2 linked regions of the Mytilus edulis genome follow. The protein of the gene in region 1 purifies or fractionates together with the protein of each later gene. This does not show direct contact. Links are inferred from orthologs where the notes say so. Each region holds a gene or a part of one and is shown in the gene's direction. Other genes may lie near its edges. The genes, in order: protein PALS1-like and transcriptional coactivator YAP1-A-like.

Region 1 (17,072 bases):
GAATACATGCTTTAACATCAGATATCAGATAGTTCAGCTATAGCTAGATTAAAAGTGTTACATGAAATGGTGCTACAAGCCTCAGCAAACCTCTCAGTGATACAAGTTCTACAAACCTCAGCAAACCTATCAGTGATACAAGTTCTACAAACCTCAGCAAACCTCTCAGTGATACAAGTTCTACAAACCTCAGCAAACCTATCAGTGATACAAGTTCCTTCCAAATCAAGAACCTGGAGCTGACTATGAGATGCTAAGCCAACCAACATAGAGGATGCTGCTAAGTCACCTATCATGTTATAATCTAAATATAACTCTTGTAAACAACTACTGGCTGCCATGGAAACACTCAGTTTGATCCACCCTTGTTCTGTTATTTTTGGATTAGAACTCATTGTAAGGTCAATTAAACCTAAAATACAAAATGGACCAGTCAAGTTGTAATTGTTTCATTGAATATATGTAATAACATAAGAAAGTATTAAAAAAAAATACATGTATTTTGCAGATTGCTATTACAGAATGAGACAGTAACCCAATAACAAAAGTAGACTAGTATATCTTGCTGATTGGTGAGAACCAAGATTCCGTGTTGAAGGCAATACTTTGACCTCTCTAATTGTTAACTTTTTATATTGTGACTTGGATGGAGAGTTTTCTCATTAGCACTAATACCACATCTTTTTATTTATAGTACAAACATGTATGTGTAAAGCCAATTTCTCTTAAAATAAGTAAGTATCATGGACAAAACATACCAGACTTTTTTCCATGAGGAGGTAAAAGGTTACAAATGGTCTCTATAGAATCATCACTAAGGTCACAATCACCAACATCCAATGAAACAATGGTTGGGTGATGAAGCAGTGTTTTGGCTAATTTCTTCATTCCTGCATCTCCAATACTGTTTCCATGAATACTAAATGGAAACATGAAAAATTGATAAGGTTAATCAACTTCCAATAAATCAATTTATTTACATGTACATTTGTATTTTATAATCCATAATTATACAGATGAGATATTTATTATGTTCCTTCCATTATCGTTTTGGTCTATTTAGTTATTTCCCCCAAAATAAGATACTATAAACTATTATGCAAGGAATTGTATGTTCATGTATATAGGTGGTCAGTATGAATATTTTGGTAAAATATTCAGCAACCAAAGAGTTTGTATATCTTCTTTTGATTAAAATATTTTAAGTATTTTAATGTGTTTGTAAAACCTGGATCAAATCACTTTTGAATGACCTGAAATCAGGTACATGCCCATTGATTTTAAATTGATTACATTACAATTACATTACAATTACAATGAATTTTAAATGTAATATATTTAATTAGTAATTAATTTTGTTACAATTAAAATTGTGAAAGGAAATGGGGAATGTGTCAAAGCGACAACAACCCGACCATAAAGCAGACAACAGCCAAAGGCCACCAATGGGTCTTCAATATAGCGAGAAACTCCCGTACCCGTAGGCGTCCTTCAGCAGGCCCCTTGAAAAATATGTATACTAGTACAGTGATAATGGACGTCATACTAAACTCCGAATTATACACAAGAAACTAAAATTAAAAATCATACAAGACTAACAAAAGCCAGAGGCTCCTGACTTGGGACAGGCGCAAAATTGCAGCGGGGTTAAACATGTTTATGAGATCTCAACCCCCCCCCCCCCTATACCTCTAGCCTATGTAGAAAAGTAAACACATAACAATATGCACATTAAAATTCAGTTCAAGAGAAGTCCGAGTCCCGATGTCAGAAGATGAAACAAAAGAAAATAAATAAAATGACAATAATACATAAATAACAACAGACTTACTACTAGCAGTTAACTGACATGCCAGCTCCAGACCTCAATTAAACTGATTGAAAGATTATGTCTTCATCATATGAATATCAGGCACAATCCCTCCCGTTAGGGGTTTAGTATCATACTATCATAAAATATATGAGAAGAACATAACCGTGTCATTCCAACAACTGTTTTTTAAATAAATGTGTTTAGTTCTGATGCAAAGACCCTATAAGTGAATCAATATTAAAGCCAAAATATGCAATCATTGATGACCTGACAACAGTATCGTAACTATATCCCTTCTTAATAAGTCTGTTTAAAGGTTTTGTAAGCTTTTGAGGTGAATACTGACATTTTTGTGCTTTGTAATTACCATAAAAGATTGGATGTGAAATACCTGAAGGTATAAGATGTCTGCATGTCAATTACATTGAATTTAAATGTAATTAATTTCATTACAATGACATTGAACTTTACTTGTAACAATATATAATTTTAGAATTTCATTGTCTTAAGAATGAATCACTGTTCAATTTCTTCTGTGCTAAGAACAGATTTAAGGACTCCTGAATATATGTTAGTATAGCATAAATTTAAGCATGTTAAGCAAGAGTGAAAGCAGACCCTACATTATTTCAGATAATTTTCTTCCCTTATTTTGCTATTTTAATTTATAATTTTCTTGGGTTTTTTTTCTATCAACAACCCCCCATTATTATAATATATTAAAGTTATATAAAAATATCAGCATGAAAACGTTAAATAATGAAAACAATATAATGTGAAGGCATATACATTAATATAGGTCGAGTAAGAAACTGTGATAGATAAATAATTAATTAATTTCTTACAATAATGCATGTAGTGATCGATTGGCTTTAATGGTTCTACATAACAAGTCGATTCGACGTTGATCTGTTATAATTCCAATACACAGGCATAGCTGCAACAAAGATTCTGAAGATTCAACCAGCTTCAAAATGTTTTTTAGCTTTGCAAATGTCAGTTTACAGTCTCGAATTGATAAAATTTTCACCTCATCATTTTGAATATCTTCACATGCATCTTGTAAATGTTCATCGTTTAAAGTTTGTTCTGTTAAGAGAATTGTATTTGACATAGTTTTTACAATCAGTCTCAGATATTACTTGTTATACGTCCACAATACGCACAATAAACATATGAAGTAATTAGGTAGTAATTGTTTTGACAGGTGCCCGTTCATCTGTGTCGGCCCATCTGTGTCACTCAGGTAAACAAAAGAGATTCGCAGAGTTGACTTTCTAACAATCTGATTGGTAGTAATCATAAAACTGGTTCGACATGACCACTGATACAGTCGAGGCGGTGGATATGAAATACACCAAGACAACACTGGTTCACTGTGAAGTCCAATTTCACATTTAAGTAAATAGTTCGTAAGATATGTTGAATGTTACCAGGTATAAGGGTTTGATCATTAAATTATTGTATAAAGGAGAACTTGACAACCTTTTTAAAAATAATTAAATAGACATTTCTTCCATTAAAAAAAATAAATACAGTCATAAAATGATAAAGAGTTTTAAGAGGTTGAACCCAAAGCTTCAGATAGTATTTGAGTTTTTATGGCAAAAAAAACACAATACAAAGTCCAATTTATTTGTCTATTTTATTGTTCAAAATCCTGTTTAACAAAAGGGGGAACCTTTGTGTTCTCAACTTTACTGCTAAGTGCACAAAATATAATTAGGAGAAAGAGCATAGACTGTCAATGGTCAACTTTGGGACTCAGAAAACTGTGTGTCGGACTCCTGGTATGGTGACATGTCTTCCTTCAGACTTACACCTTTACAGTGGCAGATCCAGAACTTTTTGTAAAAAGGGGGGACTGACCTATGGGGGCCTGCTTCAGTCATGCTTCAATGATTCCCAACATAATCAATCAAATTTTTCCTACCAAAGGGGTGGGGGGGGCATGCCCCCCTGGATCTGCCTATGCTTTATTGTGAACTATAGGTACCTTTAAAATTCTGCTCAGTCTATCAATCATGAATAAAACAGGGTTTATTTATTTTCCTATTATAAACTATTAACACCTTTGCATCCTGAAATTCATTTAATTTGCCACTGGACATAAAAATGCTATCAATCATCATATTATTATTTTGACAAGTTTCCTTGAGGTTTTTAGTGATGTGTATTTTTAACTTAAAGGGAAACTTCGCAAAAAAATCAAAAATTGATATTATGTTTATTCTGTATAAAAATGCTCAAATTCATAGGTATTAAAGTTTTATTCTGCTAGATAAGAGATCACCATCGATTTTAAATTTAGAGTATCAATTCTCTACGGTCGGCCATTTTGTCACCTTGTCCGATTTGCAGTCGCGATATGTCTAAGGACCAGAACTACAGTAACCCGATGTAGTCGTAATTGCGTGTCGATATCTCGTCAATCGTACGGTTGTTTTATCCGACTAGTTAACTTGATACGGAAAATTTTCTTTTTTTTTTTAATATTGGTATACAATATCTGTTATTTTAAGACTGATAATATAGGAATTAGTGAAAAAGTCAAAATTTCAAATCATAAATAAGTCTTCCGTGAAACTTGAATTGTTTTCGGCAATCTAATTAGTTCATAATTCTTTTATGTAATAAACTTTATTCAAATAAATTAGGATCTTCGCTCCACTGATCACCCGCATGGCTAAAGGTATTACTCCCAAAGGTATTGTAGGGGGTGTGAGGTGACACGTCCAGGTATTCAAGCGATTTCCTGTCGAGTTTGCAAATTCATGCATCGTTTCACTTCTTAGTGTATTGATAAGTGTACACGGCCGATAACTTATAACTTTCCATTTTGAACTATTAGGTGTATAATATACATCTCTATCTTGCGTGTCCGAAAGTGATATAATATATAGTCATTACTAAACATATACGCTTGTTTATGAATAACATTTCTGGTTAAAAGAAAATTATTTATAAAAATATAAATAATACCAAAAAAAACAACAGATCTGATGAAATAAAAAAAAAATCCAAGAGTAAATTTGGTAAAATGTAATATATACTGATAACTCGTTGTCAATGGTGAAGGACAGATTGGAACATACCAGAAATATATTGATTTAAAAAAAGGTACGCACTTGTCGACCATTCGTATATACGCCTGGATTATAAGTTACGGAACTATAGCGTAAATTAAAATATATACATTTATACATAGAACATAAGAAAGAATAATATATTTTGCGTAAATTGGGGTAAAAGTTTTGTAAAATGAAAAGTCCACGTATGCCAACAGTAAGTAATCATCAAATGTCGATAGATTATTGTATACCAAACGAAGAAGGAGAAGAAGAAGAGATTTAAACACAGGTCGATATATAACTTTATTTGGCTCATCGAAGTTATGGACATTTATAATTCAATTAGATTGTTCTCGAAAAAAGGAAGAAATTCGTCTTCGTCACAATTGTTCCAAAATGCATGTAATATATACGCCACTGGAAGTACACTTATACCGAGGGATGTGAATATTTTCCGGGAAAACTATAGAGTATCAAAGTTTCAAATCAATTTCGGGATTTATTTTCTCTCTAGATATTCAATGACAGCAATTTAAAGAAACTGCTTGTCCGCTTTAGTGGTATTCTTGCCAGTTGAAACAGACTTATAATTACATTAAAAAATAGGGAAGGATGACATTAAATTCGTTGTCTTTTTTTATACATCGTTGGTCAAATAGCTAAAGTATTATATATAGTTACGGTGTGAGACGAAGAGTATTTTAAGGACATATTCCCGATTATGTATAAATTTTGTTGATGTTTTTCACACTTGAAAAGCATATCTGTTCGTAATTTGTCGATTCCATTCCAATTAGATCCTTTAATTTCCTGTAAATTTTTTTAAACATTTTTCTTTTTAAATATCTGAAGTCTTCATGTGTTGTCAGATTTAAAATATTTTGATGAGCACATTAATTTCTAAATAGGTAATTAAAGATCACTTTGGATGGACTAAAATATATAATTGCAATTGTTAATGATCTGTTTGAAATATTTAAGGCTGCCGATCCTTATTTGAAATAGTACAATTTTTAGTTCATAAACTCGTGTTTAGAATGCTATTTTTATTTATAAATTCTTCAATTAAAATAATTCAGTGTTTTATCGTTACTAAAGTAATCAAAAGTCATAATTCATTAAAAAGTGATCTTATGCAAAATATAAAAATATACAACAGCTATCCAGTTATTGTGCGATCTTATTATTCCCGTTAATTAATTTTAATTTTTTTTTTTACATTCATGTGTCTGAAATTTTGTCGGAGTCCCGTTTACAATTATGTTGTTCACACCTGAATGCCAGTGAACCGTGACGCATAGATTTCACTGAATGAGGATCAAAGGATTAGAATTACATAATGCTAATCTTTTAATTACCTTGAGTTAACCTACGCATTCAACATTCTTTAGGTGTCACAAAACAATACACATTTTATTTCCACCTTACAAGCAAGTGAAAATGTTTGCTGTAATGAAGCAAAAACGTCAGAATACAAACATGTATTTTTAATACACTATTGATCATGTCAATTTCATATGTTTGTTTAAAGTATTTGTACAAAACAAATCATAAAAATGTTCTATGTATGAATTAATTTTATTATTAAAATTCGTTTTAAAATATCCACACGATCTAATTTTAAAAGTTGCATGGCTATCACTTATTTTTCGTTGGTTAATAGCTACACCAAAAGTCGTCGATGCGCTTTAAATCGCGTAATTAGATTGTTTACGAACAAGACTTAAATGAGATATTTTCACTCCCGGCATGCATCAAAGACTTAAACTACGTCACATAAGTCAGGAAGCTTCAAGAAATAAAATTAATAATTCCCAATTTTCTTCTTTATTAGATTTCATATCAAAATAAAACTTGGTGAATATGTTTTTTATGGTATTATGAACATAATAAGATGATAAGTGAAAAATCGCGAATTATCCCTTTAATATGAGAAGTAAGATACCTATATTTGGTATATGGTTTTGAAGTCATCATCCTTTGCAACATTTATATGTCTGTCAGACAGAGTTCACCTGACAATGACCCAATTTTATGGATCAGAGATTGAGACTAAAGTGATGTGATTAGGTCTGCATCTGACCTTGGCCTCATTTTCATGGTTCATTGGTAAATTTTTGTTTTTGTGTTTTGATCTATTTTTCAAGTACTATATCATGTATATATACATGCAATAGATTGACTGACCTTATTGTATGGAATGATAGTAAGGTGTACATGTCTGTCCATTAAGTATCATCTGACCTTGACTTCATTTTCAGGGTTCACTGTTTAGCGTTAAGTTTTTGTGTTTGAGACTGTTTTTCAATTACCAAAAGCAAAAGGTTAACTATATTTAGTGAATGAAATAATTGTAAGGTGTACTCGTCTGTCTGACAGGATTTAATAGACCTTGAACTCATTGCCATGAATCTATAAAAATGATAAGTGTATGTGATACTTGTAGTAAAACCTTTATCTTTAAAACTTTCAACATAAAATCAATGGTCAGTAACGCAGGTGAGACATTTCAGCATGTGCACATGTGAGAGTAAGTTAAAGCAGTATTGAACATGCTAAAATAACAGAAAGTACATCATACCATTTCTATAGAATATAGAATGGAAACCGGGAATGTGTCAGAGAGACAATAATCTGACCAAAGAGCAGAAACCAATCCATGGCCACCACTGCAAGAGATGGAGAGTTATCTCATTGGCACTCATACCACATCTCCTTAGATTTACAAGCAGGCTAATAGTAAATTCTTGGTAGATTGTAGAATAATGTAGATATCTGTAATATTGAATTGTACAATGTTATAAAAACTAAAAAGACCATTGTTTCTGTTATGTAGCTTAGTAGAAATGAGTTAATAAGATGGAATCATCATCAGATGACACAACAGAAACCAAGAGTAGCAATGATAATAGCACATTATCTGTTATAGAAGTTATAGATGAGACATTACATCTGGGTGAAAATGACAAAAGATATGGGTTCTCTATCATGGGAGGAGTGGATGAAGGGTTTTGCCCCAGGATTGAGGATATTGCTGAAGGCAAGTACATCTGTGTTGCTCAAGTATATGGACTAGAAACTTAAACTTGATTTAAAAGTATGAGATACTACTCAAAATATATTAATATATATGTTAACTTATTAAGCTATTGGTGTTAAAAATTAAATAAAAATTGTGGTATAGAACAAAATTTTTGTTTACAAAAAAAATATTTCAGGAAACATTGTTTTTCCCCTGTCCCCTCCCCACACACAAGCACCATACAGTTGAAAGGGGAAATAATCCCTCCCTCCATAACAGTCCCAATGCTGAAAAAGGGGGAGTGCAATTGTCCCTGGCTCCTACATTACTGTTGTTCAAGATAGCTACTTTAGCAGATATTTTACCACTTTTCATCGCCTCATTCCCTCATAAGTTATCACTTGCTCTTTCATAAATTTTGGATATGCCATGCACATGAAAATTTTTATTAGTAATCCGTAAAGCTGTGAAATTTTACAAAAAAAACAAAACAAATTTCAATATTAGCCATTATCATGATTATGATGTGCCAATGATAATCAATTAAAAATTCACACTAAACATTTTATTCATTTAGATAATAATTGGTCTACACTTGATTGGTGTTTCTAATTTGAAAAGCCAGCAAAATCATTCAGCTATAATATCTATACAGTATTATTAAAACAAACACATCTATGGAACTACTAGTATATACAGTTCATTGAGTCTAAGACTTTTCTATACTTAAGGTGATTTAGATTATATCTATAGTATAGACACTTGTCTGCTGTTGCAGACCATATGTTGACCTCTAAATGTATTTTGGTCTTCTGTCTATATAGGTTGCTGCCTTATTGACATTTACCCCACACTTTATGACATTTATTTTTAATAAATCACAAAGATAAGGAAATATGTAATAGGATTGCCAACGAAACAACTATCATTCAAAGACAAAAAAATGGAAAAAAGTAAATAACTATTAGTGTTATTTTGTTAAAGCATTTCAGGAAAGTATCGAAGATATTTCATTGATATGGGCCGATTTATGAACCAACAAGTTAAACTTTTGTTGATGTCATTCACATGATAAATCAGAAGGTTATGGCGTCCAAATTTTACTGGTACTGCATAAAAATGAAAGATTGTAGCGATAAAATATCAATGTTATATCATCAACGATTATTCCAAAATAGGACCTAAATCCAGTCAAACTAAGTCGTCAATATTTAAATTTGAAATGTACGATAGTGACTTATGTTTAATAAAACATTCTCATTTGCTTGGTCCACCCTTAATGATTACCAATACATATATAAGTTAAGCCAGTGCTCATTTCAAGCATGAAAACTACTGATTGAATTATTTTGAAACATTTTTATGCCCCACCTACAATAGTAGAGGGGCATTATGTTTTCTGGTCTGTGGCTCCGTTGGTCCGTCCGTCCGTCCGTCTGTGGTTCCGTTCGTCCGTCCAGGTTAAAGTTTTCATCACTTGGCGTCCGGCGGCGTCCGGCGTCCGTCGTCGTTAACTTTTACAAAAATCTTCTCCTCTGAAACTGCTGGGCCAAATTTAACCAAACATGGCCAAAATCATTATTAGGGTATCTAGTTTTAAAATTGTGTCCGGTGACCCGCCCAACCAACCAAGATGGCTGCCATGGCTAAAAATAGAACATAGGGGTAAAATGCAGTTTTTGGCTTATAACTCAAAAACCAAAGCATTTAGAGCAAATCTAACATGGGGTAAAATTGTTTATCAGGTCAAGATCTATCTGCCCTGAAATTTTGAGATGAATCGGACAACCCGTTGATAGGTTGCTGCCCCTGAATTGGTAATTTTAAGGAAATTTTGCTGTTTTTGGTTATTATCTTGAATATTATTATAGATAGAGATAAACTGTAAACAGCAAAAATGTTAAGCAAAGTAAGATCTACAAATAAGTCAACATGACCAAAATGGTCTGTTGACCCCTTTAGGAGTTATTGCCCTTTATAGTCAATTTTTAACCATTTTTCGTAAATCTTAGTTATCTTTTACAAAAATCTTCTCCTCTGAAACTACTGGACCAAATTAAACCAAACTTGGCCACAATCTTCATTCAGGTAATTAGTTTAAAAATTGTGTTCGGTGACCCTCCCAACCGACAAAGATGGCCGCCATGGCTAAAAATAGAACATAGGGTTAAAATGCAGTTTTTGGCTTATCACTCAAAAACCAAAGCATTTAGAGCAAATCTGACGTGTGGTAAAATTGTTTATCAGGTCAAGATCTATCCGCCCTGAAATTTTGAGATGAATCGGACAACCCGTTGATAGGTTGCTGCCCCTGAATTGGTAATTTTAAGGAAATTTTGCTGTTTTTGGTTATTATCTTGAATATTATTATAGATAGAGATAAACTGTAAACAGCAAAAATGTTCAGCAAAGTTAGATCTACAAATAAGTCAAATGACCAAAATGGTCTGTTGACCCCTTTAGGAGTTATTGCCCTTTATAGTCAATTTTTAACCATTTTTCGTAAATCTTAGTTATCTTTTACAAAAATCTTCTCCTCTGAAACTGCTGGGCAAAATTAAACCAAACTTGGCCACAATCATCATTCGGGTATCTTGTTTAAAAATTGTGTTCGGTGACCTGGCCAACCAACCAAGATGGCCGCCATGACTAAAAATAGAACTTAGGGGTAAAATGCAGTTTTTGGCTTATCACTCAAAAACCAAAGCATTTAGAGCAAATCTGACATGTGGTAAAATTGTTTATCAGGTCTAGATCTATCTGCAACAACAAAAGAGAGTTTTTCACGACCTCAGCTGGCTATACAACCCTTGCACAATCAACTGAATTTTGCAGAAATCATTAATAGGATAGATTGCCCTTATATGATAATTTTTTATTACCTTTTTGGTTTTTTTGGCAAAGGGGGAGCGGGGGGGGTTGCGCAACAACAAAACAACTTCACAACTTTCTCATTACTTTGCATTTCTCGTTAGATAAATTTTACAAAATTCTCCCCTGAAACAACTGTCAAATTTAAACAAACTTGGTTTAAATCACCACTAGGATATCCAGGGACCACTGTGTATGATGACCCTGCCTGCCCACATGGCTGAAATAAAACATAGGTTTCAAACGCACTTTTTAGTATTATATCTCTGAAACTAAACGACAGTACAACAGTTGCATTTATCATGCATCAATTGTAAATAAAAATATCAGGTGAGCGACACAGGGTCCTTGGACCCTCTAGTTTTTACAAAATACCAATTGACAAAATTGTTTTATCTGCTTGGAAAAATACATTTGGTAAAACATGTAAATCAATTAAACGACAAACGACTTGCATTGATGGCAACAGTTTAAGAAGTTCTATTACATGTAAATGATTAATATTTAATTCTTTATATCTACTTGTATTATGATTTATTACTGTCCGGAATGCTTATATGAAATGAATATTCCCCATGAAAGTTGTTTGTTTTGCAGACTACATATATTTGAATTATGATTGAACTGATTTTCCTCAAATATTACACCTGATCAGCTTTTTCATTACAATAGTGTGATTGACAATTATGTATTCTTTACCAACAAAATCTTTTGCTTATTACAACTCTGGGGTTGTATGTATTTATATAACATATTTAAATGGTCTTATAACTAGACAGAATTTTATGCTTTTGATCTATGTAAGATCCATCATGATATAGGAAAACAATTAAAGAAACAACTATGTATCATTTATACTAAAAAGAAAAAAAAAATATTTTGCAACTATAAATGTTTATTTTGGAAATACATGTAGATATAATTTTGTTTATTTATGTAATACAGTGTTCACACTATAAAAATTAACCAGGTTTGGGATTTTCCCTGTCAGAAAAAATAGAAATGTAAGCACCAAAATTGTAACCTTCATCCTTCCACTATATATATATTTACATATTTTTTTTCTTCACAGATGCATTATATTAAAGTCTGAATTATTTTTTGCTGCACTATTGGCCACTTTGGGGAGTTCGATCACCATCAAAAACCATCAACCACTTTCCGTATTTTCGAATAATGTCACATTATCCAAATTGAACCCATTTTCGCCCAAAAAGGCAATAGAGATGATATAGGTTTCATCGTTCATCAACATGCAGGTTTTTTAACAAAGATTTATACAATTATATATCCCTCTTTATATTATTCGTAACCTAGTAAATACAGGAACTAGACGTCTGTCAAAATATGAGGTCATTTGATATATGATGTCACAGACAAAGGCGTATTTATGTAAACGTCACTATAGGAACAACCTCATATTAACTTCACTTTGCATTCACATCAAGAAGTGAGGAAGTTAACTTGAGTTTGCCCCACATTAACCCCACCTTAGATGAGGGGTAATTTTGATCCGTGTTCGCCCCGGTTTAAGGCGTTCACACTACCTAAATTTAACCTGGATTGATTAATTCAGGTCGACCCGGTTTAAAAGGGCATAGTGTGAACGGGGTATTAGATATTTTCATCAAATAATGTATCAAGTCACTATCAACCACTGTAATTCAATGTGCACTGAACATTGCTGTTTACCCTTGTGCACTCATTGTGTTAGTGGATGCGAGTGATTAATATTAAAAAAACATGACAGTTATATAGTTCAGTGGTTCATATTATTGCTGTGATGTAACTAATATATCATTTTGATCCCTGTTACATAATTGCTTGGCTGATAAGAGTGGGACATTTGGAGACAGCTAACAGCATTATTCTGTGTGTTCTTTGATAATGTCTAGAGGATTTAATAATGGTTCATAAATTCTAATGTTTAAATTTATTCTATACTTGAATATGATATTCCTTTTAGTGCAGCAATTTTCATATTATGCATTTGTTTAGAATCAGGAACTATTTTATCACTATTGTCTTTCAAGTTTTGCTGTAGAAATCTTTACTAATATCGGCCATACAATATTCAATATAATTGGCCTTTCACTTGCTTATTATCTTAATTGATAGCGATGTTACAGGTTTTCTGCAGTTGCTATTCTTCTTGAAATAATTACTTTGGTTATTTTATTTTCTGGTTAGACAAGACATTCTGCCAATACTATTTTATATAAGAAATGTGTGATCATTTCTTCCAGATGGATAGAACATAACTAAATCTGACCTTTGAAAAGTTATTTTTGTAACAGCTACCAAGTAGATACTCTACTCTATCCATTCCATTTCATTAACTCAATGACATAAATATGTGATTTGTTTGTTGATTTTGCTTTAAAATCCATTTGAAAGATTTCAGGCCTATTCATGATGAGAACAAACAAACAAATGTCCTTGGTATTTCTTACATCAACTGAATAAGTTTTAGTTTTTGTCAATCACTTAAAATCATTTATATCACTAAGAGCTGTGGAATTTACATAGAATAATCCTTGTTGTGTAAAACAATTTCATTTCTAACACTGCTTAGTCAACTTCTTCAGGTTGCTCGTCTTTGATGTAACTTTTTGAAATATGCAGGCACATGTTAGTCAGTTTGTCAGCATGCAGAAACTAGAAATTTGGCTCTTTTGAAGCTTTTATCTAGGCTTTTGTATATATATACAAGTCTTAATTGAAAACAACTTTCTAACCTACATGTATGATTGCATTGGATATATATATATATACTTTTATTAAAATTCATGCCAAAGTTTATAGCGATAGGTATTACTCAACTGAGCTTGCTGTGTCTATGCTTGGTTGCTTGAATTTATTTACATATGATACCAAATTAATTCACAAAAAAAGAAATGTCATTGTTGCTTCAATTTATAAAGGTAACCCCTATTATAAAATAAAATGTCTTATATGTGCTGTAGATTTCTGACACACTTTGATTTTATAAGGCATATGTTTCATTTATATAAAAAAAAAAAAAAACAATAGTTCTCTTAAATTTTTTTTTACCATAGAATTTTATCTACCAACATCCATTTCTCTCTGTCAGTTTATCCGTGTCATATGTAGCTACAGTACTACAAAGTCTTAATCATTTGTGATACTATGGATTCATTAATTGCAACATTAAATTCTAATTTGTGTGGATATGGTTGAGTTCTTAGTTACTCAATAGAATTACAGATTTTCAATTGCACTTACTAGAACCATGAAACTTTATAGTACAATAAAATGGCTAATTAGTTTTGAATCATGATGATCATACAATGAAAATTTATAGTTTGAGATAATCATTTGATCAATTCAATTAGGAATGTTTATTGTTACTGTTATGGGGTGTATATTTTATTCAATAAGTTGAAAACCTCACAGTAAAGTTCCAAGTCTGGTTTTAATTTTTTCGTTTTCTGGTTTATGCCAAGACTGTAGTCTTTAGTCTGTCTGTCCCTTCTTATGGTAAAATTTGTGTGTAGGTTAAGTTAAAGTTTTGGTTTAAAGTACTTTGTAGTCACATCAATTTTAAACTTTTAAAATACACATTTTCATTATTAAAAAGTATTTGTTATTCATACCAAATTACGACTTTAACTCAGATTTCACTGAAATGGTGCGAATGGGCATGTTTCCTTTGGAGGTATATCCTTGACGTTAATATTTCATTAATCTTGAAGTCATCAAATATCAACTTATTTTATACAGTAAATTTGAGGTAAAAAAATAGCTAAATAAAATTCATTTATGAATACACTCTCAACGGTTCCTATATACTGTACAAAAATGTTTGCAACAATTTATCTACTTGATGGAAATAAAGTGAAAAAGTGAATATAGCTATAGGACCAAATTATATTGATCAGCTTTAATTTTATAACATAGTTACTTCATTCCTAAGAACAATATTTATTTCAAAAATTGTTACAAGAAATTCAAATCCATCACTTTATTGAAAATAACTTAAATGACTGTCCCACAGACAAAAAAATAACAGATATTTCTAGTGTAGGACGATGCAACACTTGCAGAAGAATGAGTAAATTCTGATGTATTGTGACTCTTTATTAGCTTTATTACGGCTTAGCTATATTTTCCGCATGAGCAGTTTGGCCTAATCCAATGGCCCATTATAGTTGGCATTACTTCTCATTGTGACTGACAGATCTATCAATCAGACGAATTGATTTATTTTCCCTTTTCTGCTCAGTATCAATCAGTTTATGATGAAAGAAATATAAGAAAAAACATGTGATTTGATATTTATCAACGATTTGTTTCTATTATCCTATTGTTGATTCATTAGGACAGCTCGTATTTGCCATTTGGGATCACAGTGAGATATTCTAGAATAGTTTTATTAACAAAGTCATTTTGGATTATGATGACAAAATGTAAAGACTCTTATAGAATACTGATGGGACACATTCTCTATGATGATGGAATTAACTGGCTATGTTATCTTACTTGTACAAACTATAGATGATGAAATGAAGTTATACGGTGAGTTCATTAAAAGACGTACTCCGTCCATTATTGACGATGTTAAGAATATAGCCAAGGAAATGAAGTGGCTTAAGGGAATTCTTTTTAACAACAGTTAGATGTTTGATCTTTATCTCCTCAAATTATGTAATTCTTGAAGAGTTTAAAAGCTTTTAAAATAATTTCTCATTAATTTTTCGAAAAATGTTTTAAAAAAAGGAATAAAGTTGCATGTGCTTGGATTTCCATGTAAATTGTATTGACAGTTGTTTATTATGAAATTATAAAAGCTGTTACGATGAATTAAGTCAAAAGTGACAAAGAGATATTAAATTATTAAAGTCTTAGAATGCAACTTAGGGATAGTAGTAGCTGGATGATGTTCCATTAGCGTAAGGTTTATTGAGTTTAATATTCTATCTGCATTTGCTTTTCCAAGTCATTAATTTTTGCTTAATAACAAATAGAGAAACACTTTTTCTGGAGGTTTTGATTGTTTTTGCCATTTTTGTTTTTCTACTTTACAACCAAAAAGACAATTGTAATTTTGAGAATTATTTCTTTTACACAAAGTTACTAATTTGCATTTTTATATCCAAATAATTAAGTTTTTAAAATATTATATTAAGGATATCTGTGTGATAAAGCATGTTTCTTGGATAGCTAAGTTTGGAAAGCACAGGCACTTGTTTCTATCCATGAGAATTAAAAGACCCACTATCAATGTAAATATTCTTTGATAGTGGGTCTTCCTATGGTACCTGTGTTGGAAAGCCAAAAATATTAATAGTATGAGAGCATATATGCAATACAACCTAAAACAGTGTATATTGTAAGTTCAAATCTCCAAGGGGATAAAATAGCAACTTTAGTTTTGGAATGGTAACATATTCATGAATTTAACATTTACATACAAATTATATCCTAAACCATGCCATTGCTGTTTCCTTACTAATTGTACAAATAGTTTCAATTAAAAAAACTTTTTTTTTCTCAATTGAAAATTAACCATGAAAATCCATTGTCACATATTATTGTCATTTTTGTTTACCTTGTCATCTTTTTAAATTAAAAGATTTAATCAAATTTAGAATTTTTATTACATAATCCCAGACAAGAACTTTTTTATAATCAGAGAATTTATACTACAAAATGTACTGAAAGTAAAAAAATATCTGAAATTTTTATTTTTTTTATTTTTCAATACATGTAGACTTTAAATGTTGTATTTGCCTTAAAACTAATCATGATAAAAAAAAAACTATCATGATCTCCTCCTCACTTAGAGAGAGGCTTTTTTTCAATTTCACGAAGAGATAATATCCAATTTAAATATTGAAAATGTCCATCTAGGTTAATATATCTCACTGTTACTCTTTTTAGTTTTAAGACATGCATATGGATTCATACATTGAAGTGATGTGTCTGGTGGGTCTCATTTGGGTCTAAGCGTGCCATGGGATTACCGATTTTTTGGTAAGCGTGACACTTGTAAGTCAAATTATTATGCCATGAAAACTGGGAAATGAAGTCTAGCAGGACACAGGAAATTACAAAAAAATGAGATAGCTTATGTACATAGTGTAATACAGGAATCTGAAAAACAGTAAGTGGGATCCGGGATCAGAACCCCCCCCCCATGTCTGGAAAATTGACATTCAGATTTGTTTTTTAAATAGTGTTAACGGAATACAGACTGGAAAAATCTTAATTTTCTATTCAGTTGCATACAAAATAATCTAAATCTGAGATTATCGAAAAAGTTCATAAAAGT
Region 2 (17,307 bases), about 5.0 Mb from region 1:
TACATACAATCGTGTTTCTGCTATTACTTCAGTACACACACGGGGTCAACATTGCACCGGTCCTCTACCAAGTAATCAAGGTAGCTAAGTAATTCATAAAGCTTGTTGATTATGAGGTAGATGCCATCACCAAGATATACCGAGACAAGAAAGAGATAACGATGACCGATGAAGACAGGGAATGTTTTGAATCTAGCATTTTTGCATTTGCTGAAAAGTGCTGGATAAGGACAAGGTTCGCGATCACGACTACCTCACGGGGAAATATTTTGGCGCTGCACAGAACAGTTGTAACTTGCATTACAAACTAACACGGTTTTCCCCATCGTGTTCCACAACTTGAGTTGATACACCTCTTCGTGGCAGAGTTGGGGTTTGAGCCCAAATGCATACTTTAACCCGATGAGATGTACATTAGCTTTCCAAGAAGGCACAGGTCATGAAAATCAGCTTCATCGATTCAATCCTCTTTATGCGATACTTGCTGGTTACTTTTGCAAAATTACTGACGAAGGTTCAGTTTAAGACATTGACACGCTACAATTTGTTGGCGCGTACGTGAGAGTACCACTATGATTACGCATAAAGTCAGAAGAGATTGAAAGAAAATGAATAATCAACCAAACAAGAATTGTATGGTCTTAACGGTGAGGGCATTTATGGTGAAGACTACACTCATACATAAATTGTCACATCCAAGTATAAGATCATGCTTGATATTCACAACTAAAACTCTAACTGATGTGATGCTATTTAAAGACAATTTAGCATACTTCGAGACTATGTTCATGGAGGACTACAAGCAAGATTCTATGTTGTACACTACATACCACCAGTATTAGCCAACGACTCGACTCATAGCTCAAAATCAAAGGGTTCGATTTGGAACTGTTTTCCGAACACGAAAAAAAAACACATTAAAAATGAGTCATCGCACAACTTTAATATAAAAAAAAAACCATTTAAGTGCATGGTACCAGTGAAGATCATCGAAGACATGCTTATCAGCTTCGATGCTCACGAGTATGAATACATGGTTGATAAATAAAGGCAACGATAGTATAACGCTATTCAACAGTTATCAATCGATTAAGCGAGAAAAAAATCCGGTTCAAAAACCGAATGCGATTTCGAGTACCAGCAGGAAAAAAAAATATGATTATCCGATTGTGCCTGAGAATGTGGAGATTAACAAGGTGCTAAAACTAATACCGACGCTGAACAACCGCATTTTGACAAAATTCATTTATGTAGACAGAATTCATTTTTGTAGACAGAATTCATTTTTGTAGACAGAATTCATTTTTGTAGACAGAATTCATTTTTGTAAACAAAATTCATTTTGTAGACAAAATTCATTTTTGTAGACAAAATTCATTTTTGTAGACAAAATTCATTTTTGTAGACAAAAATCTACTTTTTTTCCCTATTATGGAAATTAAAACACAAAAGTTTGAAGACAAAATTCAATCTCGTGAAGAAAAATTCAAAATGGTAAAGATAAAATTCAATCTTGTGAAGCTAAATTTCTATTTTGTGAAGCAAAATTTCTTTTTTGTGAAGGTAAATTTCTTTTTTGTGAAGCTAAATTTCTACTCTGTGAAGACAAAAGTCAGTTTTGTGAAGACAAAAGTCAATTTTGTGAAGAAAAAGTCAATTTTGTGTCACAAATGACAATTTTGTGTCACAAATGACAATTTTGTGTCACAAATGACTATTTTGTGTCACAAATGATCACAAATGATACGTTTGTGACAGTAAAGTTTTTCCTCAGTAAAGTTACTGAGGAAAAATCTAAGCGAGCACAAACAACTGATTATATGGTAGAATCAACTTTCAAAAAGTAAATTAGCTGTATCAATTTAGATCAATTCATTTCATTATTATAGATAGTGAACATCCTTGTGAAATAATTGCTCAACAAAGTGGGCTATACCAACGGTGGTAAGATGAACAATGACAGAAATATGCCAAAAAATTTATTCGTGACGGTCGTGTGTAGGTCTTTGGGAAATATCTTCATCAACCAATCTACCGACTCTTGCAAATAGCTTACTGCGTTGGAAAAAAGTGTGAGAGGTGTTCTCTGGAACACTTCTAGAGAGTGCAGAAAAAAGACTATGAAGTTTTATTTGGCACAACTTTTTGGAACTTTGGATCCTCAATGCTCTTCAACTTTTTACTTGTTTGGCTTTATAAATATTTTGATATGAGCGTCACTGATGAGTCTTATGTAGACGAAACGCGCGTCTGGCGTACTTAATTATAATCCTGGTACCTTTGATAACTATTTAAAACTCTGGGTCGATGCCACTGCTGGTGGACGTATCGTCCCCGAGGGTATCAACAGCCCAGTAGTCAACACTCCGGTGTTGACATGAATATCAATAATGTAGTCATTTTTATAAATTTCCTGTTTACAAAACTTTGAATTTTTCGAAAAACTAAGGATTTTCTTATCCCAGGTATAGATTTCCTTGGCCGTATTTGGCACAACTTTTTGGAATTTTGGATCCTCAATGCTCTTCAACTTTTTGCTTGTTTGGCTTTATAAATATTTTGATATGAGCGTCACTGGTGAGTCTTATGTAGACGAAACGCGCGTCTGGCGTACTAAGTTATAATCCTGGTACCTTTGATAACTATTTAAGGAAAAGCTTGAAAACTGAGATGATGTTTGCTTCGTTTACATTGCTCGAGATTTTTTGAAGATAAACACACGTGGTACGAGCGATTGCAGGTGTAAGTGAAGACACGAGTGGGAACGCGTCGAAAAATAGACAAGCAACTGCTTTGCCTGAATTGATGATGATGAATACGGGGCAAGTCATTTGGGTCAGATGAAACCTGAAAAAAAGTAGATCAAAGACGAACAAAGGTAACCAGTACACCGACCCATGTTGACATAACCGAAATTAATGCTTCCGACACTTAAACGCAGTCCGTAGAACTCATTCAAATTTAGAATGTATTTAAAAGACGACCAGATGAATTCAGCGTCAGCCGAATGATGACCATTGTTGTAGTAAACTGCATGCAAAAGCCATAATATAAACCCATGGGTGTTTTTCAATTGCTGTCAAAACGCTAGGGCAGTCTCAAACGCGATAAAACGCTATGGTGCTTTATCATGTAACCGCTATCAAAGAGTAAGAAGTGTTTTCTCAAACGCTATCAGATGCTAGGTGAACGAGTATGTTGTGTGCATTCCTACTAGGGTAGAGGAGTTCGAGCACAATGTTTCGGCAAACACAGAAGCCTTTGTGCTGGTAATCTCTGTTAGAATTCGTCATTTGAGTTTTAGTATTCAAAAGATGTTCCATGATTATGGAATGGATAACAATCTGTTACAAAGAATCAACGAAAATACAGCTCCTAAGTATGGATTATCTTTCGTCGTGTCAAAAGGATAAAAGGCAACAGTAGTATACCGCTGTTCGAAACTCATAAATCGTTAGAAAAAAACAAATCCGGGTTACAAACTAAAACTGAGGGAAACGCATTAAATATAAAAGGAGAACAACGACACAACAATAAAATGTAACACACACAGAAACGAACTACGCATCGGACAAAATCCGATGAGAATAACAAATTTAACATCCAAAACTAAATTCATTAATTTGGGATAGAAAAGTACCGTGACACGTCTTATAGTAATGTGAATTCGCACTCAAATATAAGAGGAAACAAACGACACAACAGAAACACAACGTTAAAATGTAACACACACAGAAACGAACTATAATATAATAATGGCCATATTCCTGACTTGGTACAGGACATTTTTTAAAAGAAAAAAAATGGTGGGTTGAACCTGGTTTTGTGGCATGCCAAACCTCCCGCTTTAATGGCAATGTTAAATATAATATTAAAATGACAACATAACATTACAGGACTACAATGCAAATAAATAGGAGAACATATTGGACAAAGAAACACACGAATAATAGCTAACAAAAGGCAACAGGTTTAAATTTTAATACGCCAGAAGTGCGTTTCGTCCAGACAAAACTAACTTGTGACACCCAGATACAAAAGTTTGAAAGCCAAAACAAGTACAAAGCTAAACAGCACTGAGAACCAAAAGTTCTAAAAAGTTGTCCCCAATACGGCTAGGATTTTCTGCTTGTGATAAAAACATCCTTATTATTTAGAATAATTTATACTTTTGCAAACAGTAAATTTTATAAAATTACTATATATTAGATATACATGAAATAACTAAAGTATTAACTAATTACAGAAAAAAACCGGATACATTACACAAACCAACATAATCTAACACAAAAAAATACACACTCGAGTAAGTCAAAGCCTAAACGCAAAAAGTGACGTCAATGACTAATACTATTTCTCAAAACTAATAGAAACTCGTTTAAATCCAATCCGTTATCCGAAAGATAGACAGAGTTTCGAAATAGCTCTAGTGAAGATGGCCGATATTTAGTACTCTTCTCGACTAATAATGCAGGGGATTCAACCTTTCATTTGTCTAACGATATTGTATTACTAGTACTTGGTTTGTCATTGCGTTATTTTTAAAGTATCAGAGACATCAACGACGAGTTTCAGAGACAATTGCGACTCAACAAACACGCCATCAAGATCACCATTGATAGAACTAGTTTTAGCAAGAACTATCAAGTAGACTTCAACGAGTGCTAGGTGCCAGTACTAGGACTCGAACACAAAATACATGCATGAAAGGACAACCAACAATTGTACAGAGCCTGATGCAAGGTCAGTTCAACAAGTTACAACAAGCGACCAAAACGGTAGTACGACCAGCACACATTAGTCGCATGTCAATTTGATTGGGAAACACAAGATGTTACTCACCAAGCAACAGATATAAAAATTGGCAAAATATTGAAGAATGAAATATGAGGTATATCATAAGGAATAAGTGTAAGACAGCTGAAACAAAATATTCAAAAGGAATGTGGTTTATTAATCATATTGGCAGGTTTTCCTATCGTGTTTGGTGTGAAGACAATGTGTGTTGCGTGATGGCTTGAGGTAACAGGGGTCAGTCTGTATCTTATCCCAGGTAGACATTAGAACGATCTATACCTGCAAAATGGCAGACGATTCTACAATAGTCGGGGGTTTATTTTATGTCCCAGCAGTTGAGAACGTTCCATTTTTAGGTATGCTCATATATATATATAGGCTGTATAACTAACTTGTCAACACTGAGGTTGTCAGTCCGAACCCCGCACGTGACAGATTCCAATCTGAATTTACTAGGACTGTTAGTTTTCCTGCCAAAGGTCGTATGTTCTCTCCTGCTGAAGGTCGTAGGTTCTCTCCTGCCAATCTGGCTTCTTTCGTCAATAAAAACTGTCCGCCACGAAATAGCCAATAGTGCTGACAGTGGTGTTAACTTGAGGCCTAGTAATCAATCAAATAATCACTTTAGGCTGTATTCAGTATGGTTTTGAATGACAACGACATCAGCAAAGCAGAATTTGCAGGCGTCGTCAGATGCTTACCTTTTTACTACGATGAAAAACAAAAACTGTAACAACTTCAACTACATTAATCTCGAGAACATTAATCGCATCTGCGATGTTGTTTGGAACGTATTGCGTTAAGCCTATATTCAATCCAGTATTCTGGATTCAAAATGGTCTCAATTTGGTTTAGATATGCACATGATCTGCTCGCTACCAACCAACTTTCTAGTTAGTGTCTAGGAAAAATCATCATATATAGTATAGTTACAATGATTTTTTTTCAGATTTTCCGTCATCCTATTTCGATTTATTCACAAATGGGCCAAATAAAACGAGTGGATGATATTGTTGGGTGTCTACGTTCATCATACCGTCACATAACTGTGATGGCTTGTGCTGTTGGTTGATGTCTGTATTTTGTCATTTATGCTGGAAAATTCCCGATGAATGAGTTAATTGAAAAATCGGACAAATTCTATTGTCACGATTTATTTTATTCTATAGGAGGCTTTGTAAACAAGAGCAATACAAAACGGTACGTGTGAGACATAAAATGAATAAAACTATTGTTTGTAAACACTTAAAGTACTTCAAGTAGCACTTTCGGTTAAGTGCCCACTTTTAAAGAGTTTCCGGAATTGGTGGTTGTGAGATTATTCAAGTGAACTATCCGGCAATTCAGTGATTGAGTTTGAAAGACCTTGTAAACCTGATCTCCTGTGTTGTTTTATCAAGTCAAAGGTGGGTAATTTCCCCTACGGTTTGTTGATAGCTATAAGGGTGATTTCACTACTCTGTAAAAATGCACCAACATATAAAAAATAACTGATGTTCCAAACAAATGCTCGATTCAATAATTTTATGATTGTAAAGCAGTATCCACTAAAATTTAGTAACACCATCTTCAAGTTATTTACTTAATTTCCTTCGAAGTACAGTGTATCTTTTCGTAATAATGAACGGTTTTATATGTGTGCAATGCATACTTAAAATGTAACTCCAGTTTTACATAGACATTATAAATTTTAGACAGAGCGGGTATTTTCTTTTTCAAACTGGTCTTCAACATGATACCCTAAGGTAGTGTGCTATCATCATGGCAGGCAAATGCATGAAACTGAACTGAACTGAAAATATTGCTAGTCATTTATATGTGTGAAGTTCCAGGAACACAGCTGAATGCCGCTGGACACTTAAGGCACGTGCCTACCGTGACAATTTTTTTCACAAACATTTATTTATTAAAAAATGAAGTTGTCAAAACTTTTTAAAATTAATTAAATGTCAAGTATTACATTAGACTCTGGGTTATAGGATAGAATGTAATGTATATTATATTCCAGCTTAAATAGACACTAAAAACTAACTTTAGATAATTTCACTTTTTTTTTTAACAAATACTAATGAACCTCAACATGATCCATAACCTGACAATACATTTTATTTATTAGTTGTTATTGGTTTTCAACAAACTGTTCACTAGCTTGGTCTTCTTTCAATCGGTAGTAAAAACCTTTGCTAAAGTTGGGGGTTCGTTTGGCTGTATATAATGTATAAATATACGCAGTCACGTCCCACTGCACGTCCGGTAATATGGGACATTAAATCCGATGCCTCTTGTAGAGATAGTGGCAATACGCTAGATATGAACGTTAAGAATCCTCGTAGCAACTCTTTGTTGGGTTAGGTGGCCTGTTGAAAGGCAATATGTGTGTCCCTACCCAATTAATTAACTCTCATTTGTCCGTCTGTTACGTCCGTCTACATTTCACAATAACCCAAATTTGCTATAACTATGATACTAGATAGACGGAAGAAAACCCCCTATTAATTTAAAAAAAAAATGGCTATGATTCCCAGAGTTACGGTACTTTAACAGCCATTGTTAACATATTGCGCAGTATGCTTGAGTTTATTCCTCATAAACTTTACACTATTGCTTAGATTTGAAGCTCCCTTTCGATGTATTTTATTTTATTCCAGGATTTGCCTTTCCAAAGATACGGGACTTGAACCATCTGAATTGAAGCAAACAAACTCTATGCCTGGATTGATTGCCTAGATTTATTTCCTGAAAAGTAGTTGGGGTATTAAAGGCTTCTCATAAACTTTATATTATTGTTTGGATTGATAAAATGAAGATCCCTTTCGATTTTTTTTTCTATTTCATGGTTTTCCGACGTTCTAAAAGTTACTGGACTTGGTCCATTTGAAATTAAGTAAATTTTGCACATACAGGATCATACAGCGTTCAAACTCAAGTGTGCCTGGATTGATTTACTCAAATATAGTTGGCAATTTTCCGGCCGTTTTAAATTACTTTTGTTTGATTTTCTAGTGTTATTTCCAATTTTCTACTCGGTGTTAATGTTTAATCTTTTGAAAGAGGGTCGACTTGTTGTTACTTTTTCAGCGTTCTGCGTTTTTCTTTAAAAAACTTGAATATGACTCAGATATAACAAATTTGGATAAAGATGCTGATAAGAATAAAAAAAAAAGAATATTTCAGATTTTCTGTCAGCTATGAATAATATATGTCTAACGCCTTTCTGTGTTAAAGTTATTGTAAAAAAGTAGTAAAAGTAGTAATTTTAAAGAATGATTCACCATTTGAAGTCCCCACCCACGCAGTAAAATTCAACTGAACTACTTATCAAAACTCGGCCATTGATTGATTGACATATTCACAATAAAACAAGCCCCTTATAAGGATTAATGGGCCTATCAAGGGGAATCTAAGCATCGATTATTATTTGAAAAAGGGTTAATGTCATAATTATTTACATACAAATAAAAAAATTATATTTCATCTTTACATGTAATACTTTTATATCACTATGTCAAAAATTGTTTACAAAGTATACTATGTAGTTTGTCACCATTGACATAATTTCCTATGACGTCACAAGGTGCTAAAACATACGCAATTCACATCGGTAGTGTTGTCGTACAACTTAAGATTTAGAATGTCAATAAGGAAAAAAACTAAAAAAATATCCCTTTTTAACCATTATCAACAAACCAAGTATTGAATATTCATCATCAACTTAAGATTGATTAAAATAACCCATAGTTTATAATGCACTATTTCGTCCCGCGGATGAGGGGAACCTGTTAAACCTGGTTGTGACCAGTCATAGGGTTAATTTTCGTAAAACTTCAATGGTGTCCGACAAGAAGAAAAGTTCTCAGGAAATCTTCAAGGATATGTAACTAGTTTCGCTTACTCTAGAAATGTTTTTGTCTTAGCTGAGTAGGATAATTTTCGGTTTTTAGTGTTGTGATTTTCATAAATTTCGTCAAAATGTCCCAACAGTCGGATTTATCGCAGCGTAAAGGTAATCAGGTGATACACGTCCGGGACAACAGTGGGAACGAACTCGATGAATTATTTAATGCTGCCATGAACCCGGCCCGCTCGGGCCAAACTGGACAAGTGCCTATGAAAATGCGTAATTTCCCAGCTTCTTTTTTTACACCACCAAACTCTCAACAATCGGGTCATTCAAAACAAGGTAGTAACGATTCAACAGGTTATGGACCTAATATAATTGCACCTCCAGTGCATACCAGGGCGCATTCATCACCTGCAAGTTTGCAGCCATTATCCACTATTCCACAAAATCCTCCACAGCATCAACATGCAAGGCAACATTCATGTGACTCAATGTTAGACAACGAACCCCCTCTGCCTCAAGGTTGGGAAAAGGCAAGAACTCCAGACGGACAACTTTACTATATAAAGTGAGTAAAATTATAAAACTACATGTACATATGTATGCATTATTCATAAAAGTCATTAGTGTTCTACTATACAGTCAGTGAATATGTTTTTACTAATTTCTGTTTTTGTTTGCAAATTTAGAAATGGGTAAGTAGATTACTTTTTCAGGTGTAACCAGATTAAAAGAGCTGAGGCTCAAGAAAGGAATAAAACAGAAAGGGCAAAAGAAAATTACAGAGAATATATATTTATATGTTATTGTGTTTCTTATGCACTTACAAATTATTTGTTGTGTTTTTTTTTATATATAAATTTCACGACTTCAAATGTAAACAAACTAGTTCCTCTCTGTAAATGGGTAGCTATATAGCTAATTGTCAATATTGCCTGCAAAATTGCATTATTATTATTATGGCCAGGTCATGGAGGAGGCAGTAATTGGTGTTGATTCAACACTTTTACTGTTCTCGAGTTATGCCCCTTTATAATGTTATATGGAAGCTGGACATCATCTATGTCGGACCATGGACTTATTCTGCATTTATTTCCTCTTTGAAATGTCCAGAAAAAACTATTTTACATTTGTATTAATTCCGCAAGTGTCCAGAAACAGTATTAATTGCTAGACATGACCCAATCAGAAAGGTCAGTGATTGAAAATTAAATTAAATTAGGTCACAAAATTTTCATTATAACAGAAATAATTTTTATCAGTTCATTGGAATCTAGCTTTTTAAATTTCCAATTTGCCAAAAAAAAAAAAAAAAAATAGTCAATACTTTTCCGCTATCTATTTAAATTGTGGTTCCATAAAACTGACACACAGACTCTGCCAGTTATACATGTAGTATTATAATCAGAAGGACCTTCTTAAATTAATTACCATATAAAGCCTCCCCAGATGCAAAATGATTTTATGGCAATTTAAAGGATTCAAACAATATTCATTTACATCATGTACATTTTTATTCAAATACTTTTACAGAAAATAAAATTAGAAAATACGAAAATTGCCTGCCATTTGCTAAACAGATTATAATGTTATATTACAAATGTACATGTATGGTCAGATCGTATATTTTCATGCATGTACATATAGGTCATATATGATTTTGTACTACAGATGCTTTTTCAATAGAAATTGTGATGTCATAATGCATTCCTACATGTAATGGCACCAAAACGCATAGTACGAGGATAATCCAGAATCCTAGTAATTTGTGAAAGTAATAAGCATGATAAGCTCTGCTAACAACAAATAACAAAATAAAAAAAAATATTGAAGATCAACTTTCATATCAATGTAGTTCAAATTTCATACACAAGATCTAGACTGGCAATTTAATTCTCCTGTATCTCATCTACAATGTATATTCTTTAGAACCACAGACTACATGATATGTACAATGTACATGTACATGTAACTGCAACTAATAGATAAGTTGTATCACTGGTACCAGGCCTTAGGATTTGGATTGTGGAATTAAGAGTGCGGCTGCCTTGTCACTAATTTCATGCTTCAGCATGCAGTAAGAAAAACTGCTATTGCTCAAGATAGGGACTTCATTGGCCAAATAGTCTAAGGCTAAACAGCTTTGACTGTAGTGTAAGTGTTCCCTTCTACTGTCTAACTAGCCAGTGCCTGTCAACACTGATGTTGTGAGTTTGAATCCTACACATGGCAGGTGTGCATGACTCCATTTTTGATCAAATTGAATCTTTTTTTTTTGGTCGAATGTCAGTGATTCTGTCTAGGCTCTCAGGCTTACTCCACTAATAATGAACCGACCACCACAAAATATCCGTTAGTGCTGAAAGGGGTGTTTTTCACCATATGCATTATATCAATCAATATTCATCCAGATCATGATGTACATATACATGTATGCATGTTCACCTGAATATGAAAAAAAAAACAAAACTGCAGACAATGATACATTATACAATTGACATGAAGTTCCTTGTACATGTATATATATATATATTTTTGTACTTTTAAAAGTCTTATTATTTAGAAGTGTGGGAAAAGTGGGTTTGTTGCACTTTAAATTTTGTCTTTACCAGTAACCTACATGTACATGCATGAACAATACTAGGCAATTGCATCTTACACTTATGTTGGTTAGATATTACCCAGTGCCACCTTTCTTAAAATATACAGAACCACTATAAAATTTTAAACATATAAGTAACTTTTTCAATGAATTTTTTACAGCTTCTATTGTATAAATACAAATAGCATGGTATGATATGTACAATGTACATTGATTGAACATTTCAATTGAGAAATTAAAGTCATTCTAATCATGTCTTGATTAGTGTTTTAATATCAGTTTTAAATTTTTTTAAAGAGTTTGTGCCCATCAAATGATGTAATTGATTGTTATTGGATCTGCAGTAATCAATCGACTGATCAAAAACCAAATGGATTCATTCATGTCCTGCTGTTTTCATATACATTGACATTTGCAATTTTGTGCATAGATACAGTACAGCCTGTGACTTCCTCTTAGTTATGTCCACCCTCTTGCATGGTCAACATCCAATGGTGAACATTTATTGGGGTATTCAATCTTGAGATGTTGGCCATTTATTGGGGGTCATAAATCATGGGCAGATTTTTTATCTAATTATGTTACCTGTTAAAATCAATCAGGGTTGAAGTTTTCAGCTGGTATGTTTCATTAAAATTTACCTGTACAGGTAACTTGGGTTTCTTTTAAAATTGACATTTCACCTTTTTTTGAAATTGTAGAATAAAGTATTGTTTTACTCTGTTAATTTATTATTATTTTTTATACGACCGCAAATTTTGAAAAAATTTTCGTCGTATATTGCTATCACGTTGGCGTCAGCGTCGTCGTCGTCGTCGTCGTCGTCGTCCGGCGTCCGAATACTTTTAGTTTTCGCACTATAACTTTAGTAAAAGTGAATGGAAATCTATGAAATTTTAACACAAGGTTTATGACCACAAAAGGAAGGTTGGTATTGATTTTGGGAGTTTTGGTCCCAACATTTTAGGAATTAGGGGCCAAAAAGGGCCCAAATAAGCATTTTCTTGGTTTTCGCACTATAACTTTAGTTTAAGTTAATAGAAATCTATGAAATTTTGACACAAGGTTTATGACCACAAAAGAACGGTTGGGATTGATTTTGGGAGTTTTGGTCTCAACAGTTTAGGAATAAGGGGCCAAAAAAGGGCCCAAATAAGCATTATTCTTGGTTTTTGCACAATAACATTAGTTTAAGTAAATAGAAATCAATGAAATTTAAACACAATGTTTATGACTTAATTGATTTTGGGAGTTTAGGACCCAACAGTTTAGGAATTAGGGGCAAAAAAGGGACCCAAATAAGCATTTTTCTTGGTTTTCGCACCATAACGTTAGTATAAGTAAATACAAATCTATGAAATTTAAACACAAGGCTTATGACCATAAAAGGAAGGTTGGTATTGATTTTGGGAGTTTTGGTCCCAACAGTTTAGGAAAAAGGGGCCCAAAGGGTCCAAAATTAAACTTTGTTTGATTTCATCAAAATTGAATAATTGGGGTTCTTTGATATGCCGAATCTAACTGTATATGTAGATTCTCAACTTTTGGTCCCGTTTTCAAATTGGTCTACATTAAGGTCCAAAGGGTCCAAAATTAAACTTAGTTTGATTTTGACAAAAAATGAATCGGTTGGGTTTTTTGATATGTTGAATCTAAAAATGTACTTAGATTCTTGATTATTGAAGTTTTTTGGTCCAGTTTTCAAATTGGTCTACATTAAGGTCCAAAGGGTCCAAAATTAAATTCAAAAATTGAATCCTTGGGGTTCTTTGATATGCCAAATCTAACTGTGTATGTAGATTCTTCATTTTTGGTCCTGTTTTCAAATTTCAAATTCTACATTAAAGTCCAAAGGGTCCAAAATTAAACTAAGTTTGATTTTAACAAAAATTGAATTCTTGGGCCTCTTTGATATGCTGAATCTAAACATGTACTTAGATTTTTGATTCTGGGCCCAGTTTTCAAGTTGGTCCAAATCAGGATCTAAAATTATTATATTAAGTATTGTGCAATAGCAAGTCTTTTCAATTGCACAGTATTGTGCAATGGCAAGAAATATCTAATTGCACAATATTGTGAAATAGCAAAAAAAAAATTAATTAGAGTTATCTTTCTTTGTCCAGAATAGTAAGCAAGAAATATCCTATTGCACAATATTGCAATAGCAAGAATTTTTTTTAATTGGAGTTATCTTTCTTTGTCCAGAATCAACTTAAATCTTTGTTATATACAATATACAATGTATATACACTTTTTACTACCAACTGATAAATTTAAATAATCTTTACCATTCAGTGATAACAAGCAGTTTTTTTACATCTTAATATTTTATGATGTATTTGAATGAGTAGTTATTGTTGCAAACTCCATTAGAAATTTGAATTGATATCAGTTTTGAAAAAGGGAAACGGGGATGTGAAAAAAAAGGGGGGGGGGGGGGTTAAATTTTTCTCATTTCAGATTTCATAAATAAAAAGAAAATTTCTTCAAACATTTTTTTGAGAGGATTAATATTCAACAGCATAGTGAATTGCTCAAAGGCAAAAAAAAACCTTTTAAGTTCATTAGACCACATTCATTCTGTGTCAGAAACCTATGCTGTGTCAACTATTTAATTTTAGATTTAAAAAGTTTGAAGAAGAAATCTTTAATTGATTTGTAAAATCTTGGCATTTGTTTTGTGTAAAAAAAAACCATGTAATGTCAAAAATTTGATCACAATCCAAATTCAGAGCTGTATCATGCTTGAATGTTTTGTCCATACTTGCCCCAACTGTTCAGGGTTCGACCTCTGCGGTCGTATAAAGCTGCGCCCTGCGGAGCACCTGGTTGTCTTTAATGTTATTTAAATTTTTTATTTTTTAATTGTTTTTTGTTTTGTTTCTTATTCTTTTAATTTCTTCTTAGTAAGAATCTTGAGTCGAAATGGCAAAAAGTCAAAGCCAAAGTTATTGACTAGCATTTGAAATAAACATGATAAACAGACTTTTAATAATTGTTTTTTAAATAAAAGGTTTATATAAATGTACATGATGTACATTGTATTCAATTGTTTGTTAACATTATTAAATGAGTTATTACTATTAATAATAACTAATAATCATGCAAGTGATATTTTAAATAAAAAAAATGAAAGTAATTAAACAATTTGGTTTCTTAACAAAATAAGATGATTCAATATCAATCCTTTAACAATAGATTTTGATAACATCTAATATTATTCAGGAAAACTACAAGTACCATTATATGGTTTAGGAAAAAACTAATTTTGTTTATTTAAATTTTCTTCAAATCTCAAAACAAGAGTTGTGCACAAACAATCACCGAAAAGACTTATTTTCCAAATGTCCACCTAGTTATCATAAAATTTTGATAAATGTTCATTAAAAATGCTAATCATAATGAAAAATGTTCTTATATATATCTGAATCAAGTGAATCTTATGAAAAGAAATTATTTAAAGAAATTGTCTTGAAACTTATTAAATATGTTATCTTCAGTTTGGTTAATTTCTTTCAAAATTTGTCAGGCTCTCCAGAAAAAAATAAAGTGCACTTCTAAAGATGGTGACACTTTAATGGTCTATTAATTAAATCATTTTTTTTCAGTGTATTATATTGTCGATAGTGCTGGACTGGCATGATACATATTCTTGGTATACATTTACAAAGAATATTTCAATCAACCTAGGCCTTTTAGATAAAGTTAATAATTGCAGGGACTTGAATGAATTAAGACTTTTAAAGTCCTTAATAAAAAATGAATTTAAAGAAAAATCTAAAAATAATAACTTATGATAAAAACTGTAAAGTTAACTTGATTGTGTCAATTAAGGTAGAGAATTTTTGATCATAATTTAGAAATAGAAAATAGTGGACAATATAAAATTCCTAGAAAGGATAGAATGTGTAAACTGTGCCTCTTGTAGGTCAATGAAGAACACCCATTCCTTGATTGTAAAATTAACAAAACAACTTTGAGATATAAATCTATTCGAAAATTATTTACCTTCTCATTAAAATGTCTCTAACCCAAGAACAAAAAGTAAAAGAAATGCTTAACCTCTAAAACATGGATCATGTTTAAAATATCATATGACAATAAAAATATTATCAAATTTTGCTGTCCTGAATATTTCTAATACTTATAAATATTTTATTCAATAAAGAAATAATGAATTGCCTAAATTTTATTTAGCGTAAGTCCTAAAGACAATCTTAAACATATGTTAAGATCAGTCTATCTACAATAATAAACCATTTTGATTTTAGAAAATTAATTTGAGAATTACCTAGTCAATAGAAAAAGGCAGGCATTGTAAATTGCAGTATATTTGAAAATGAGATTCATTTATTCTTCACTACCAAAAAATAGACTTAATATAAAAAATAACTTAAATTGATCAAAAATTATTTAAAAGGTATAATATCAAAACTAATAGTCAGGAGACAATTATTTTTTAATTAAGCTGATTTGTTCAACTAGTTTTATTGTTTCATTTTATTTTTGAATTTCTTGTCATAATCACAGTTATTAAATTTGACAAACACATACATGTATATTTTACCTGAGACACCTGACCTGTAAGTTATATAATTTTAACACTTCAATGCATTCAAGATTTCCCTTTATCCTTGACTAGTTTTTGATTAATACCTTGTGTATTAAAAAAGCAACAGGGGGTATGATGATGAACATATAGGGCCACCATGGTGAACATATTTTTTATGGCCACCATTAATAAGATAAAGTCACAGGTAGTACTGTAGTTTACATTGTTCTTTTTTAAACCTTCACTTCTTTAAATGTAAAGGACTGTTAATTGCATTGAATGTTAGAAAATAAACACAGCATAATAAGGCCCCAAAAAATAATACTTGTGTTTCCACTAACCCATCTTCGCTAGCCAAGGGTTACGATCCACTCCCGTTCTCTTCACCCTTGGCGGATTGAGATAACATTTTTGAGACATAAGGTAAGGATTTTTAGTGGTTGCAGTAGAAACTCGCTCCATCCAATCAAAAAGCGCCAATAACATGATCATGTGTAGATGTAGAAAGTGTTTGTAAACAATTGCCACATGTTTATTGTGCAACAAGTCTTTACATCACTAAACATACGACTATATTTAGTGACAACTTGAATGTTTTTAATCAACTAATAGAAGTTCCTGTGTATGTTTCATGCAAAAATGCATGAATGTTGACATATATTTTTCGTTTCCGGCTTTACTAAGTGTGTAGAATCTAGACTCTACCGTGTGTTTACCTCCAAACTGAAGAGTTCAAGTGTTACCATTGGTCAAGAATAAAGTATTTGGAATGGGCGTGACTTTAATCTTCAGATAGATGGCGCAACATTGATATCACAAATGCCAAGGGTGGGGAGAACGGGAGTGGATCGTAACAAAAACAAAAACAGAAAAGGAATTACATTTGAAACAGAAAAGGAATAACTATTAAAACAATACTAAAGTTGACAAGTTGCCACCTGGCATCAATTGGATAGTCACACATGAAGTTTTAACTGGAGAAGCATAGCATATCCATCAGAATCCAAATGATGTGCAGGAGGAAGTAAAAATGTAACCATCTATGTAGGTCACTGTTCTTCCTTCAACAATGAGCACACTACTATATTGAATGAAACAGTGTTGAAATTCAGTTAATTAATGTAATTACATGCATGGTTGGCAAAGTTTAACAGGTGTACTTGTGTCTATGTTTAAATCAAACATTTGTTGAAAAAAAATGATGGTGCACAAAGTACAAACAATGTATATGTACAATCTTTTAGAATTAAATTAACTACATATATGTACTTGTAGTGCAATGATTATACTATATGATGTGTACATTTCTTCTTAGAACAAACAAGTGGGAAGAAACAAAACAAAGACCTATATAGATGTTAAATGCTTTATCATAATTTCAATATGAGTTGATACACATTTAATGTTTACATTTATTTGTATATTTACTTTAATACAATCCTATAAGTGCAGTGTAAACAAAGGTGGGGTTAATGTCAAAGAAAACTTTTAAATTGATACAATGTAGTTAACCTC

Evidence for each region.
Region 2: the proteins of protein PALS1-like (region 1) and transcriptional coactivator YAP1-A-like purify together in Homo sapiens (affinity purification with mass spectrometry; 6 studies listed by BioGRID and IntAct, counting the BioPlex papers as one, with this or other methods). This does not show direct contact. The link is inferred for Mytilus edulis from reciprocal best matches to the Homo sapiens genes PALS1 and YAP1.

What each region holds. Positions count from the first base shown.
Region 1 is NC_092346.1:57,554,238-57,571,309, forward strand, and holds the start of protein PALS1-like, read left to right. Parts: upstream 1-7,720; 5' UTR 7,721-7,743; coding exon 7,744-7,924; intron 7,925-15,213; exon of another isoform or gene 15,214-15,246; coding exon of another isoform or gene 15,247-15,316; intron 15,317-17,072. Other genes in the region: leucine-rich repeat-containing protein 73-like, read right to left, coding at 189-412, 759-919, 2,659-2,927. UniProt on the Homo sapiens protein: Plays a role in tight junction biogenesis and in the establishment of cell polarity in epithelial cells.
Region 2 is NC_092346.1:52,552,647-52,569,953, reverse strand, and holds the start of transcriptional coactivator YAP1-A-like, read left to right. Parts: upstream 1-8,244; 5' UTR 8,245-8,766; coding exon 8,767-9,206; intron 9,207-17,307. UniProt on the Homo sapiens protein: Transcriptional regulator with dual roles as a coactivator and corepressor. Critical downstream regulatory target in the Hippo signaling pathway, crucial for organ size control and tumor suppression by restricting proliferation and promoting apoptosis.